Sus scrofa: one gene and its partners. The protein of the gene in region 1 purifies or fractionates together with the protein of each later gene. This does not show direct contact. Links are inferred from orthologs where the notes say so. Each region holds a gene or a part of one and is shown in the gene's direction. Other genes may lie near its edges.

What was found. The genes of interacting proteins can lie anywhere in the genome.
Region 2: the proteins of NXF1 (region 1) and SRSF7 purify together in Homo sapiens (affinity purification with western blotting; 3 studies listed by BioGRID and IntAct, with this or other methods). This does not show direct contact. The link is inferred for Sus scrofa from reciprocal best matches to the Homo sapiens genes NXF1 and SRSF7.
Region 3: the proteins of NXF1 (region 1) and NXT2 purify together in Homo sapiens (co-immunoprecipitation; 5 studies listed by BioGRID and IntAct, counting the BioPlex papers as one, with this or other methods). This does not show direct contact. The link is inferred for Sus scrofa from reciprocal best matches to the Homo sapiens genes NXF1 and NXT2.

Annotation. Positions count from the first base shown.
Region 1 is NC_010444.4:8,967,951-8,973,036, forward strand, and holds the start of NXF1 (nuclear RNA export factor 1), read left to right. Parts: upstream 1-2,117; coding exon 2,118-2,145; intron 2,146-5,086.
Region 2 is NC_010445.4:101,597,628-101,602,495, forward strand, and holds the start of SRSF7 (serine/arginine-rich splicing factor 7), read left to right. Parts: upstream 1-1,801; 5' UTR 1,802-4,868.
Region 3 is NC_010461.5:89,682,880-89,687,799, forward strand, and holds the start of NXT2 (NTF2-related export protein 2), read left to right. Parts: upstream 1-1,853; 5' UTR 1,854-1,907; coding exon 1,908-2,005; intron 2,006-2,594; exon of another isoform or gene 2,595-2,866; intron 2,867-2,988; coding exon 2,989-3,073; intron 3,074-3,162; exon of another isoform or gene 3,163-3,177; coding exon of another isoform or gene 3,178-3,327; intron 3,328-4,063; coding exon 4,064-4,150; intron 4,151-4,920. UniProt on the Homo sapiens protein: Regulator of protein export for NES-containing proteins. Also plays a role in mRNA nuclear export.

The DNA of each region.
Region 1 (5,086 bases):
CATTCCGTGGGGGTTTGGAACCCTCCTGGGAGGGCAGGTGGCCAGAGCTGCCACTGAGCCTGTGCAGGGTGCTTGGGAGAAAGGCCCTGTTTCCCTGGAACTGCTAAGAACGGCCACTGCCCCTGATCTCCCACTCCTTGCCTCTGGCCACCCTGTCCTCCCCTCACCATCCTCAGGCCCATGAAACACACGGTTCTGGATTTGGACTCTGCTGTGAAGTGGCTGGAAGGGAGCAGAGGCCAACTGGAGGGCTCTTCGGGGAGGTTGTCTCCACTGGAGATTTTTATAAACCCTCCCCAGCCTTTCTCAACTCTGGCAGCAAGGGGAGATGATGCCCTTCCCCACCTTCCTGAGAGTGAGGAGAGGAAGTGAAACTTCCCCAGGGACCAACTTTCCCATCTGGGTTAAAATTTACCTCTTCCTCTCTTCACCATGTGAGGCAAGGGGCCCTGAGCCCTTTGGCTGCCTACACAACCCCAACTCTGGCTGCAGATGACTCTCAATCTGCCAAATGTGCTGCGGCCCGTTTCCTCCCAATTACAACAAGACTGTCAGCCTCACTAGCCATGTCGTCATTTCGGGGTGGGAGCGTCGAAGGGCCTTGGCAGCAAGTGGAGTGAGCCCACTGCCCAGCATCATAACTAAAAGGGTTGGGCTGATGGCCCTGACGGGCCAGGCTCACTCACTCTGTGCACACAGCTGCCTCCCGCAGGGGGTTTCCAGGTGTAGCAGCACTTAGTTAGCATGGAAACTTCCCTTCAGAGGCCCGTAACAGGATCCCAGCCTGGGTCCCTGATTGACGGCAACTTCCAGGACCATCTCCAGAAGTATTTGGACCTGTCTCATCTGCATGCTCCAACCATTTGGCCCCAAACTTACTTGCGCTGGATGAAGTAGGAGCCCTGCCTGCTGCTAGGAGTGAAGGTGACATGAAGAATCCGTTCCCAGCTCCAGCTGAGGCTCTTGGTCCCCTTGAAGCCCCTCACCACATCCAAGCCAGTCAGAAGAATGAAGGAGTGACCTGCCTGGAACACCCACCCTCCAGGGAGGTTAATATGCTTTCTAGTCCTGACCAGGACCCAGAACCACATCATCCTGCATCACTGGAGTTCCCCCACTTCACACACCCGAAAGGAAGCTCAAGCTGTAGAGACAACAGTCACTATACACTGTGCTGGCCCCAGTACTTTGAGGGGTCCAGGAGAGCCCAGGTCTTTCCTAGCCATGGCATTTTAATATTTCCTCTCCCTTTGGCCTGTGTTCAGCGTGTGGTCAGGCTGGCCTCCTCACTGCCCAGTTGACACAAGACGTGGGTTTAGCATAGCACATCCCGGTGGGTTGGTGGGTGGGTTGGTTTGTGAAGACAGCCAAAGCCTGGCAAATGCCGTTTTTCTCTCCTTTGATTGCAACTCTCTCGGAGGGAATGCATAGATCAGTAGTTATTTCACAAATATATGTTGGGTTCCTGCTGCGTGCGTGCTAAGTATGGTATCCAGTCAGGTGCCGGAGAGAAAAAGCCGTGAATTAATCAAGCCCCTGCTCTCTAGGAGTTTACCGTTAGTTTTCTATTTCATTTTATAGGCGAGGAGACCGAGGCCTAGATCTGCAAGTGTCAAAGGGCTGAGCTGAGACTTGCCCTGGCTGGATCCTTCTAGGTGTCTATGTGCGGTCACTCCCGCTCCTAAGGGCCTGGTCTCCCACTCCTCGGAAGCCCTTCCTGTAGCCCCTCTTCCCTGTTCCTCTCGGAATCCTGGGCTGCAGTAGCCACCTCTCCGCTTCACCGCTGACCCTGGAGGTGCTCCAGCAGAGAGCTACTAGCGGCGGGGTGGATGAAAGCAGGGGGCCGGCGAACCCGCGGTAACTCGGCTTCCCAAGCTCAGGTCCTGGGCGGGGCGTGCAACGCCAAGTCCCGCCCCCGGCTAGTCCGCTCGTCGAATGCGCACGCGCGTCTCCCAGTGGTTCCGCCCATCACCGTGGGACGTCGGCTGCGCGCGACGCGCTGGCCGCATAAATGCGGCGGCATCCGGCGTAGGAGCACTTCAGCCGGGAGAGCCTGGGCGTTCGGACGTTTGCCGGTGTCGCGGGCCGCGACAGAGCCCGCCCCTGCTCGCTGCGCCATGGCGGACGAAGGGAAGTCATACAACGGTCAGTGCTGGCCCTTGGGTCGGGGAGCCGGTCGATCTTGGGCCCTGCTGGGCTGCGCCAGCCTAGGCCGCAGCGCCGGGGCGTGAGGCCGCGAGGGGCCCGGCGTCCACGGGGAACGGCGGTGGCGCGGCGCGGGCCCGGGGCGAGGCAGCCCGGGGGCCTGGGTGAGCTTGAGGGTTGGGTGCCGGGGTTGTTGACGCTGGGATCCTCCCTTTGCGGGCCCCTGCGACTCGGAGAGGTGGCTCAGTGGTGGGGTGATGAGATTCCTTTGAACTTTGTGGGTGGTTGATGCCTGTCAGTTCAATTTGGCGGCCAAACTGTTTAATGTGAGTCAGTGCCCTTCTCCTGGGCTGATGTGCCCTATTTTCTACCGCGCGTCCAGGCGATTTTGCCCCCTCCCCCACCTAACGCGTCTGTCGCTTAGGCTTAATATTTTAGATCTGCACATCAACTCGATGTTCTGGTCCAAACACTACACTGAGTTTTAGTCCAGAGCGGTGGTTAGGAGCCGAGGTTTCAATCCCGAGTTGGCTATGCCAAGCTTGAGTAACTTACACCCTCAGACTTCGTTTTCCATCTCCTTAATGAGGATAGAAACAGTACCAGCCTTCTGAGTTTGTCTCCGTGTGTGTGTGTGTTAAAACGAGATCATTCATGTCAGGTGCCTGGAGCATAGTGCCTGACACTGGAGAAGAGTGCTCAGTGAATGTTAGCAACGACTTGTGTGCATTTATTACTTTTTTCCTAGGGTAACTTCTTGAGAAACTCATATTTTTAGTTTTTTAAGGAACCTCCATACTCTTTCCCGTAGTGGCTGCACCAGTTTTCATTCCTACCAACAGCGTAGGAGGGTTGCCTTTTCTCCACATCCTCTCCAGCATTTGTTTTTGTGGACTTTTTAATGTTGGCCATTCTGATTGGTGTGAAGTGCTACCTTATTGTGGCTTTGATTTGCATTTCTCTAATAATTAGTGATGTTGAGCATCTTTTCATGTGCCTGTAGGCCATCTGTATCGTGGGTCTTTTTTTTTTTTTCTTTCTTTCTTTTTTTTGCTTTTTAGGGCCCCAGCCGAGGCATATGAAAGTTCCCACGCTAGGGGTCCAATCAGAGATGTAACTGCTGGCCTACACCACAGCCACAGCAACGCCGGATCCTTAACCCACCGAACTAGGCCAGGGGCTGAATCCGCATCCTCATGGATCCTAGTTGGGTCCGTTAACCACTGAGCCACGCAGGGAACTCCTTCATGGGTCTTTTTTAAGAAGCGCTTCCTACACACCAGGGTTCAGAGGATCATATTCTTGGAGAGGACCCTTGGTGAAGCATCCTAACTGCCACTGGAACCTGAATTCAGGAGTTGTCTCCTTAGTTAAAAGCCTTTTCTGACCAAGAAAACAAAGAGCTCACTCCCAAACGTTCAGAGTGGCAGTTTGAGAATAAGACTTTTAAAAGAAGCCCTTAAATTGGTCCTATCTGTGTGTGGTGTTTGTATTGTATGGGCAAAAGGAGAGCTGTTTCCCCGAAAGCTAGTGTAATCATGAGGACGGATTTGCCACCTGTGAGAGGGGTCACCTCGGGGTTAAGTAGATTTGGGTGGGCCCACAGAAAGCGGATGTCGGGTGACTTTTGAGGGGTTCGAATTGTGTCCAGTTACTCTGGGTCACTCACACTTCACATTCACTTGAGAGTGGCAGTTGGAGAGCAAGATTTTTTTTTTTTTAAATCTTTTTAAATTGAGGAAGGTTGATTTACAATGTAATGTTGGTTTCAGGTGTACAGCATAGTCATTCCTGTATTTATAGATTACACTCCATTAAAAGTTATTGGAAAATAATCGTTGTCATTCCCTGTGCCGTACAACAGATCCTTGTGGCTTATCTCTCTTATACTTAGTAGTTTGTATCTCTTAATCCCATATCTTGCCTTATCTTGCCCCTCCCCCTCATAACCACTAGTTTGTTGCCTGTATCTGTGAGTCTGTTTCTGTTTTGCTGTATACATTTTATTTTTTTAAATTCCACCTGCAGGTAATGTCACATAGTATTTGTCCTTTTCCCTCTGGCTTATTTCACTAAACGTAATACCCTGCAAGTTCATTCATGTTGCAACTATGGCAAGATTTCATTCTTTTTGATGGCTGAATAGTATTCCGTTATGTGTGTGTGTATGCACCACATCTTTATCCATTAGTCTCTTGGTGAACACTAGGATCGCTTCCATAGCTTGGCTACTGTAAATAGTGCTACCGTGAACATGAATCTTTTTGCATTATATATTTCTTTCTAGATGTATATCTAGGGGTGAAATTGCTGGTGGTCATATGGTAGTTCTATTTTTAGTCTTTTGAGAGGAGAACAAGACTTTAGAAGATGCTTGTGGAGTTCCCTGGTGGTTCAGCAGGTCGAGGATCTGATGCTGTCACTGCTGCAGCATGGGTTTGAGCCCTGCCCTGGGAACTTCTGTATGCCTTGTGGGTGCAGCCAAAAAAAAAAAAAAAAAGGTCTTAAATTGGTCATATTTGTAACTGACATTTGTGCTCTATAGGCAAGAGTCCTGTTTACCAGAGCTGATGTAATCATTGAGATTGGTTTTTCCCCTTGTGATTGGTTTTCCTTTGTGATTGGTTTCCCAAGATATAATCACTGACCACATTTCCAGTGGAGTTAAGTAGACTTGGGCACTTGAGAGCAGGCAGTTTTCAGGTGACCTGACCGAGTGTGAGTTGTGTCCAGTTACTGCTCGGGACACTCGCACTTCCACATTCTGCTTCTCCTTTGTAGTTCCAGTTTCTGCTTCATTTTTCTAAAGCCTTATACACAGTTTTCCAGGGATGTTTCCCTTTTGCTGCCATCCCACGGAGAAGGTTCTTTCCCTGGCCAGGCAGAGGAGTTTGCCAGGAGGTGGGCTCTGTCGTGATTGTGTGTCTCCTGTCTGGTAGTG
Region 2 (4,868 bases), on another chromosome or scaffold:
GGCCAAGGATCGAACCCACAACCTCATGGTTCCTAGTCGGATTCATTAACCACTGAGCCACAGCAGGAACTCCTGTATTCTGATTCTTAACCCACTGCTCCACAGCAGGAACTCCTCACATTCTCATTAGTGTAAGTGCCAATTTCACTGCACTCCTGACAAAAATAGCATGTTGTTGTAATTTGCATTTTTAGTAAGGATAGACATTTCTTTTTTGCTCTTCTTATTTTTTTTCTATATTTTTTACTGGGTAAAGTCATACTTTGTTCCTTACTATAGATTCTAGACTCTTGAATTTGGAAAACTAGATTAAAAAAAAAATTAGGGGAGTTCCCGTCGTGGCGCAGTGGTTAACGAATCCGACTAGGAACCATGAGGTTGCGGGTTCGGTCCCTGCCCTTGCTCAGTGGGTTAACGATCCGGCGTTGCCGTGAGCTGTGGTGTAGGTTGCAGACGAGGCTCGGATCCCTGCGTTGCTGTGGCTCTGGTGTAGGCCGGCGGCTACAGCTCTGATTCGACCCCTAGCCTGGGAACCTCCATATGCCGAGGGAGCGGCCCAAGAAATAGCAACAACAGCAACAACAAAAAAGACAAAAGACAAAAAGACAAAAAAAAAAAATTAGGGAATGGAGGGGACAAACTTTTTTCAATCAAGAAAACACACGACGGAGAGGAGTTTCCATTGTGGCTCAGGAGTTAAGAACCCAACATAGTGTTAAGGATGTGGTGTTGCCGCAAGTTTCAGCATGGGCCGCAGATGCAGCTCAGATCCTGCATTGCTGTGGCTGTAGTGTAGGCCAGCAGCTGCAGCTCCAATTCCACCCTTAGCCTGGGAAGTTCCACACGCCACAGGTACAGACTTAAAAAGAACAAAAAAGAAAAGACAAGACATGAGGGAGGGATAAATTAGGAGTGTGGGATTAACATATACACACTACTATATATAAAATAGATAATCAACAACGACCTACTGTATAGCACAGGGATAGCTACTCAATATTCTGTAATAACCTATATGGGAAAAGAATCTGAAAAAGAATGAATATATGTATATGTATAACAGAATCACTTTGCCATACATCTAAAACTAACACAACATTGTAAATCAACAATACTCCAATATAAAATTAAAATTAAATAAAAAAGAAAAACACATGGGATTAAAAAAATGATTCCTAGCATCCTTTCCTTAAAAAAGAGGAGTAGGGAGAAGCATTTTAACAGAAAAAAATGACATTATTACAGAAGAAAAGATTTTTTCCCAAGAAAGAATGATTGGCAATAGTTTATATTTTTCTGAGACTGGAGAGATTTTCATCAATGCTCAAACTGACAGTCCTTGCAGCAGGATTTGGGAACCACTGCACTCATCATGCAGCAATTCTTAGTCTCCTTTGAAAAATGAGATGGTCAGACTAGTGATCTAAAAACTTCTTCCTGGAGTTCCTACTGTGGTGCAGTGGGTTAAGAATCTGACTGCAGCAGTTTGGGTCACTGTGAAGGTGCGGGTTTAACCCTCAGTCTGTTGCAGTGGATTAAGGAGCCAGTGTTGCTGCAGCTGTGGTGTAGGTTGCTGTGGCTCGGATTCAATCCCTGGCTCCTGGGAACTTCCATATCCCATGAGTGTGGCCATTAAAAATTAAAATAAAAATGAATAATTCCTCCTCTGAATTTCAAGCCATTTCTTTCATATGCAGTCTAAACATAACTATCTGAGAGTTGTAGTGTATGTTTCCATTTGCCATAGGTTTTGAAGTAGATTTCATTCTTTTGTTTTTTTTTTTTTTTTTTTTGTAGGGCCATAGGGGAGGCACATGACAGTTCCCAGGCTTGGGGTTGAATCAGAGCTGTAGCTGCTGGCCTACACCACATCTGCAGCAACGCCAGATCTGAGCCCCATCCTTAATCCACTGAGAGGGGCCAAGGATCCAACCTGCATCCTCATGAATACTAGTTGGGTTTGTTTCTGCTGAGCCCAAACAGTAACTCCATCATTCACTTTTTTAAAAAAGGTGTACCTATTCTTATAGAAATTAGCTTCCAAGTCTAAACTTTGTAATAAAAAGTGACAATTTCCATACTGCTCATGAAAACACATCTCCCCATTCTATAGGCAAATACTTTTGCATAGAACCCTTAAGAAAGTTTCAGAATTTGATTTTGGGGTTCGTGGAAATTTACTTTTCATGAAGACAATTTCTAAGTATTTGCATGTTACATGTGCCAGAATATTTTCCTCTATGTGGATTGGGTCAAAAAAGAAAAGTGGCAATTTCCCATACTGAAATCACTGAGTAAAGAGACAAAGATATCTCAGGCATGTCCAAAGCTGATCACAACCATGTTCCAGAGTCTAGTCCTCAGCTTTGCAGAAACTTTAATTTTGTCAAGTGCCCAACTCATATCAAATTTTTAGCAACTGCAAAGGTTAATCAAACTGCTGCTGCTCCTTCTCCTCCTATTACTAACAGCTAACATTTATTGAACACTCTGTGTGTGCTAGACAGTATGCAATGTTACATACTTGGTTTAACTCATCCAATACTAACATCTGAGACAAGGTACTATTATTAAATCACATTTTGCAGATGAGCAAGCTGAAGTACCAGGAGATTCAAAACTTGGTTAAAAGTAGTCAGCTCTTTAATAGTGGAGCCAAGCTTCAAACCCCACTCTGTCACACTCCGTGACACTTACACTCTTCGTCATTACACTACACCATCTCTCCTAAAAAAAGATTTTTGAACTAAAATTATTTTTTTATTTTTTACTAAAGTATGGTTGATTTGTGCCAATTTCAACTGTACAGGAAAGTGACTTAGTCAGTATATACATACGCACATACATATATACATTCTTTTTTTAAATATTATTTTCCATCATGGTCTGAACCAGAAGATCGGATATAGCTCCCTGTGCTATGCAGTAGGACCTTATTGTTTATCTATTTTAAATGTAATAGTTTGCATTTACTAACCCCAAACTCCCAGTCCACCCCACTTCTTTCCCCCTTGAACTAAAATTATGTCTGTTAATTTACAGTAGACGATATTAATTTTCAGGGACTAATAACTCAGTAGCAAAACATCAAACAAAGGAAAGTCAATGGTCTAAGTACAGCTGAGAGGTGGTTAATTAACATAGGTTTGCTCCTTCCAAGACAGTGCTAAGTGCTAAACTCTAAGCTAGTCTAGCTCTCTCTAATTAAGACATCAAGCTGACCAAGTCCCTTTCATTACTATTCTTCCTTTAGAGAAGAAACAACAAATTGATTAGTTTAGGGCTTGATGGCTTTACAGTTTCACACTTTTTAACACAGTCTTTTCTCAGAAAGCCTCACTCTTAAGTTGCTTTATACTCCCAAACCACCCATTTGGATTTCTATCATTGGGGCACTCTTGCATCGCATTTTTCCTCTTCTTAGTTTTACTCTTGGTCAAAGCCCTGTCATTCTTTAACAGTAGTTCCCCTCTCTCTCCTATATACTTCAGTACTGACTGCAGTCCAGTACTTGGCTAGTGAGAAGTTAATTTCTTTATACAATATAAAAGTAGTATAAACATGCCACTAAGAGTTTTTCCTTCCAGAATTTCTCAACCTTCTTGAGGGAACAGAAGATTATGAAATGTTGAAAAAAGAAAAGAAAGTTGTGGTTGAATACAGCTGTTCAGATTGACCTACAGCACAAACATACACAGTGCATACGGAAATACATCTTAAAAGATAAATGTTGGTAATACTTTTATAATATAAAGATGATTTTTAAATTAAAAACTGATACCTGTGCAAAAGCTCTAAACTTGTTTTTGTTCTAAAGTTTTCACACCTAAGCCAAAATGTTTGACAATGATTTAAAAATGAAACTAAGATGGAGAATAAAGTAAGATAAAAAGTGAATTTTTCTTTAATGTTTCTCCAGAAATACTGAACCTAGGAAAGGCAAATACGTTTTGAAAGCTGCAATGAAAGGATTAAGACATACCCCCCTTCATAAACTAATATTGTTGATATTTAATAACCATAACTTGAGAATTATTTAGTAGGTCATGTTAGGAAATACTAGAATATTCACTGAATCAAATTAAGTAACTTTCACATTCAAATTGAATCTGGGAATGTGATCTTAATTTAATATGAAATTTATGTAGGTGAAACTGATTTCAAAAGAATCAGCAGAAATAAAAACAACTCTTAAAAAAAAAAACTCCCTAATTTATATTGACATGTAATTGGTTACATGCTCTTAAAGAAAGTGTTCAGTACAACTGTACAAAAGCAGTATACAGTACTATTATTTTTTCACAGCAACCAGGTTAGCAAAGCTCAGCCTAGAATTGGCCTTCCTTTAATAGAAATAAATAATACTTAGCTAAAAAGACAGGCAAGCCAATCAGGGTTTTCCTTAAATGAGCTTGAAAGCAATTTGTTATAGGTTGGATAATTGCTTCTTTTCGTACTGTTTACATTATTATATTCTTAGAAATTCTCTTTTGTACAATAGACTTGTATTCAGAGTGAAAAAATATTTATTGAGGCCTATTAGGAGCTATGCATATAATAAGTACTCTCAGTAAATTACCTATGTTTTGTCCAACAGTAATTGTCATTAAATTCTTTTTTTTGTCATTAAATTCTTAACAGAATAAAGTTTAATTAGTGAGGCTTTACAAAATTGATATTCTTTCTATATAAAGAATATAAAAAGATCTTTATTGTTTAATCCTTTCCAGAAGAATCTTGATAAGTAGATAAGGAAAAATCAATAAGGTGAAACAAACATAAACTGTACAGAACTTCTATTTTCTTGCTAGAGATTTTCTAGAGATAGACCGATTCCTTCCATAATTTGAAAACTGAAAAAAAAACTA
Region 3 (4,920 bases), on another chromosome or scaffold:
GGCCCTAAAAAAAAAACCTAAACTCCCTGATGACTTTGGGGCAGGGCTTTTAAAGGCAACATGAGGGAGAGAGCAGCAATATGCCTGATCAGATCATGGACATTCTTCTGATTGGTTGGTGATGAGGCAACTGAGTGGTGTTTCAGGAATCAACATTTACAGCCTTTTGGTTTCAACTGGTCTGGAGTCTACATGCTGGTGGCTAGAGGTTAACTTCTTCCATCTGGTAGGGGTTTTAGTATCTTCTAAGCAGCTCAAGGATATGGCTCCAGATATTATTTATAGCCCTAAAGGAGGACCCAAAGGTCTTTAACTTTGTTTTTATGGCTAACCTCATGTATTGCTTGACTATTTTCCTTTGTTTGTATTTCTCTGATTAAATTTACTGTTTGGAACTCAGTGAAGGGCTAGGATGCTGAAGCTTTTCTACACACCAGAGGCAGGGGATGCAGGGTGTTCTGTCCCCAGGAAGGCCCCTCGAGTCCTACTCTATTCTTGTTATCAGTTTACCCACCCTCCCCTCCTTGTAGCACATCAATAAAAGTGTACAGAGTTTTGTGCAAATATTCAGTGCAAAACTCTAAGTCTTCCCTCCACTTCTATCTCAGTTGTCCCTTTTCAGTACTCACAATACTCCTTTAGTCCCCAGCATTATTGCCCCACACCAACAGGCATGCCCCGTAGCCAAAGGACAGGTCACATCCCTTAGGGTTCTGGCAACATGAAATGAGGGAAGGCTCCATGGAGGAGGCTGTACCTGTCCTCCTCCCTGAAGGGCAGTCGTAAATGAAGAGAATAAATATTCCAAAATAAGCATAGTGTAAGCAAATGCATGATAGCGGAGTATCTAAGAACAAAGATTTGGGGATAAACAGTTAGTTGCGAGTTAAAATCCTGGCTTCACTAGCTGTGTCATCTTGTCCAACTTAACCTCTTTGAACCTAAGTTTAAATTCTTATAAATTTAGATAATAATGTTTCTCTCTTTGGGTGTTGTGAGGATTGTATGAAATCATAATAAGGCCAGACACATTCTAAGCTCTCAAACTAAAAAAGCAGTCACCTATAAAGCAGTGAACACAAGTCATTTTCGGTAAACAGTAGTAGTTAACTTTGCCAGTGTTGGTGAATAATGGGAAAGAAGTCTGGAAAGATAAATTCAGACCAAACCAAGGTAAGTCTTTAAAGATTGGGAAAATTGAGGGGAAATGAGAATAGAGCAAAGTCAAAATGTGTGTATAGAGGAGAGAGAGAGAAAAAGAAAGAGAGAGAGAGAGAATTTCTTTAAAGAGTGGGAAGAATTGGATAAGTTACCTGGAACTCCTCTATAATTCATTTTTGTTTATCGTCTATCACTCCTATTACCTTGTGAGTTTCATGAGGGTATGGATCATGCCTGTTTTGTTCACCACTATATATCAAGAACCTTGTACAATGCCTGACCCACAGTACGTGTTCAGTAAATATTCGTTGAAATGAATAATGAATTATGACGATGGGATGGGGGGCAGGGGGATACCAAAGAAAAAAATTTCCAAGAATTCAAGCGTAGATGACTGAAATAATACAAAAGATTCTAAGTGCAGAGGAAATAATGCCTTTAAATTTGGACTCTGCAAGTTTGATAAACCTGTAGCGTATTTACGTCTTCATACTTAGCGAAACTACATACGTGGAATTGGAACTCAGAAAAGCGGCGGGAAGGAGGGGCTGGAGATGTGTTTTGAGGTTCGTCAGCATACAAGTATCAATCGAGATCACGTGGGAGGGAGGTTTTAAATGGGAGACGCCACCGGAAGTGACGCCAGTAAGAGGGGAGCAGAGGAGGCTGCATAGTGTACAGCGGGAAGTTCGCTGCAGTTGGAGCTAGGTGAAGAAAGGAGAGTGAGGGAAAAATCAGATAAAAGTATGAGGAAATTCAGAAGAGACTGGTTTCAGGGAGACAGAGAAAGACCCCATGGAAAGAGTGACCATTTTCATGAGGAGCCACATACCAGCCATTCATGGTAAGTCTGTGGCGATACCGGATCGATTTGACCACCCAGAAATTGTTGGGGGCTTTGAGATGAGCGGTTTTGGAGGATGCTGGGGCGTGTTGCAGGGGTAATTAAATTGCTTAAGCTTGAATCTCAACTAGTTTGTGACTGTAAGGGGGTTATGTAATCACTCTATGTCTTAACTATGTAACAGAAGTAGTTACCTCAGATCGTTATTGTAAGTGATTAAGTGAATGTGGGTTAAAATGCTTAGAAAAGTACCCTCCTCCCTGATAACCAGCCGGTAAAATTTTAGCTATTTTTAGGGAGTAGGTTGTGGAAAGTGTTTAATGGCTAGTTTACTAGAAACCAACCTTCATTTGAGGTCTGCAAGACACTTGAAAATGCAGCCCAGAATGAAGGGACTGAGCCTTTTCCAGTGAAATAGTGCCAAATCAAATAGTCAATAATTTTAGGAATAGTAAGGAGACATTGGCTTTTAATGCAGTGTGGATCGATTCTTCCAGAACATTCCAGAATGCTGAGCCGTTGTCTACCAGTCATGCGCAGTAGGTTTGCCCGCTTTTCCCCAAGCTCCACCCACTTTTCCTATTGGTTACAGATCTGGCCAGTGTCCTCACAATCCACATTGGCTTTTAGCTAGCACTGGCCCCGCCTCCTGAAGCAAAGAAGCCCCCACCATTGGACGCTTTAAGTAGATCTTTTATGCTGTCTCTAGGCGGGTTGGCGAAATGGATACTTTTGTTGAGATTGTACCTTAACAAAAACAAAGTGATTTTTTTTTCGAAACTAAGTTAATAAATATCAAACAAGTGAGCACATACGGCAGACAGGAGGGTACGGTCGGAACTGAAGAGACTTGGACTTAAGGTTGGTACATCGGGGTGCTTTTAACAACGGACCGAGCTACTTCCGGGGGAGAATGGGCGGGCAGAGAATTCTGTGCGTTTGGCGGGTTTCGCTTTCTTTCTAAGTATTTGACCCTCACGCAGCCGTGGGAGCCGGACACGAGAAGACGTAGTGACGCCGCCACTGCTGGAACAGGGTGCTTCGGGCTCCCCGATGGCTATGTCCGTGGTGAGTGCGGCGGCCGCGGCAGGGTGCCTGAGCGCGGGTGGCTGAGGGGCGGGGCTCTGGGGCGGGCTGTCTGCTGGTCACGTGGTAAAGCGGCGAATCTGGTCATGGCGCGCCAGGCGCCGGGGGCGGGGCCCGCTCTCTGCGGTCCCCCACCATCCTCGACCCCTGACCCTCCGTGCCCAGGGCTGTGCAGTCGCTTTGCGATCCAGGAAAGGACCCCGAGATGGGAGCTAGGTGGAGGCGGGAACGTTGGGGTCTGTTGCTTACGGCTTGTAATCTATTCTTTGCTGTTTGATTTTCTAAATAACTTTCAATTACCTGAGACAGAAACGGAACTGGTTCTTAATTCAAATAATAGGCTGGGCTGGTAAATGCCTGGGGAAGAAAGTACTTAATCTTCCTGCGGGAGAATACCACCACATTTCTTTTCTTCGGTTTTAAAGTTCTTTACAAACGCCGGTGAATTTTTATGTATTGTGAGGAAGTTTTCTAGGTATCTAGTAGTTCAAGCAGTTCCTTGAACTTGTTCAGTTTTTTTCCCCATTCAGCAACTTTTGAAAAACTTACCGCTTGAAAAGAGAACTCAACACTTCCTAACTTATCCAGTGGCAGTTCGCACCCCCCCACACACATTTTTTTTAAGTTTCAGACAGCATCATTTTTATTAAAGTGAATGCTTTGTAAAATGTTGGAAGCCTAAAGTGCCAGTTGCCAAGCAAAGATAATAGATTTATATTTAGACCGAGAAAAAGGTGAAATTCACTAATGAAGGACAAATATGCCCTAAAGATACATCCTTTAAAATAGTGCATTAAAAAAAAAATGGGAACTTGAGCCCTAATCTTTAAAATATCCAAATTTATATGGAAGAATGTGGGCTATATATGGAGCTACAAAATGAAATAAATCATCAACTTCTCTTGGTGATTTCGTGTTTGTGAGGGGGTTGGAGGAGTGGTAATGTACATTTTAATGAAGTTTTTCTTGTAGGATTTTAAAACTTATGTAGATCAGGCATGCAGAGCTGCTGAGGAATTTGTCAATATTTACTATGAGACAATGGATAAAAGAAGACGGGTAAGTGTTGTAAACTATTGTTTATTGAGTAACAGTTCTGTATTTTTTTTTTTTTTTGAGCCAGCCATTCCTCTGACTTGCCTAAGTGACAGCTGTGTTCTTTAAAAGTACATTAGTGTGGTATTATGGAAGTGTGGACTCTGGAATCATATCCCAGCTTTGTGTTTGCCTAGCTCTGTGACCTTGGGCAAGTTGCTAACCTCTCTTAACCTCATTCTATTTTTAGGGTGACAGTGAGAATTATTTAAATATTGCACTTAACATGGGATGCAGCATACGTTCACTTAAATATGTTGCATTTTCTTAGCCCCATCATTTAACCAATATGGTTAAGATAGTATTAGTGCTAGTACAGGGGTCTGCCATTACAGGGAATGTTCCCTAATTTGTCCCTTCAATTTCATATATTAATAGGTAATTTTTTTGTTAAAGCTCACAGCTATTGCTGGCACTCACAAATAGAATCCATGTGGTTTGGATACTTTTAGTCTTCAACAGAGCAAGTTCTCACTTCATCAACTTTTTTCGTTGTGACTTATCCCTGAGCCATATCTTCTAAGTAACTATTTCAGTGGTCTGGAGAGTCTTGCTTATGCCTCTTATCGGCCTAGGATTATGTTTTAGATAACTTTGTCTATGCTGCAGGTACATGAGTTACTATCTCTAAAAACTTATTTTTTAAGACAGATTAAAAAAGTTCGTGATAACTGATGTTTGATGACATGGGATGGGGCAAGAGATAGGACAATGGACATTTATTGTGCCTTGGT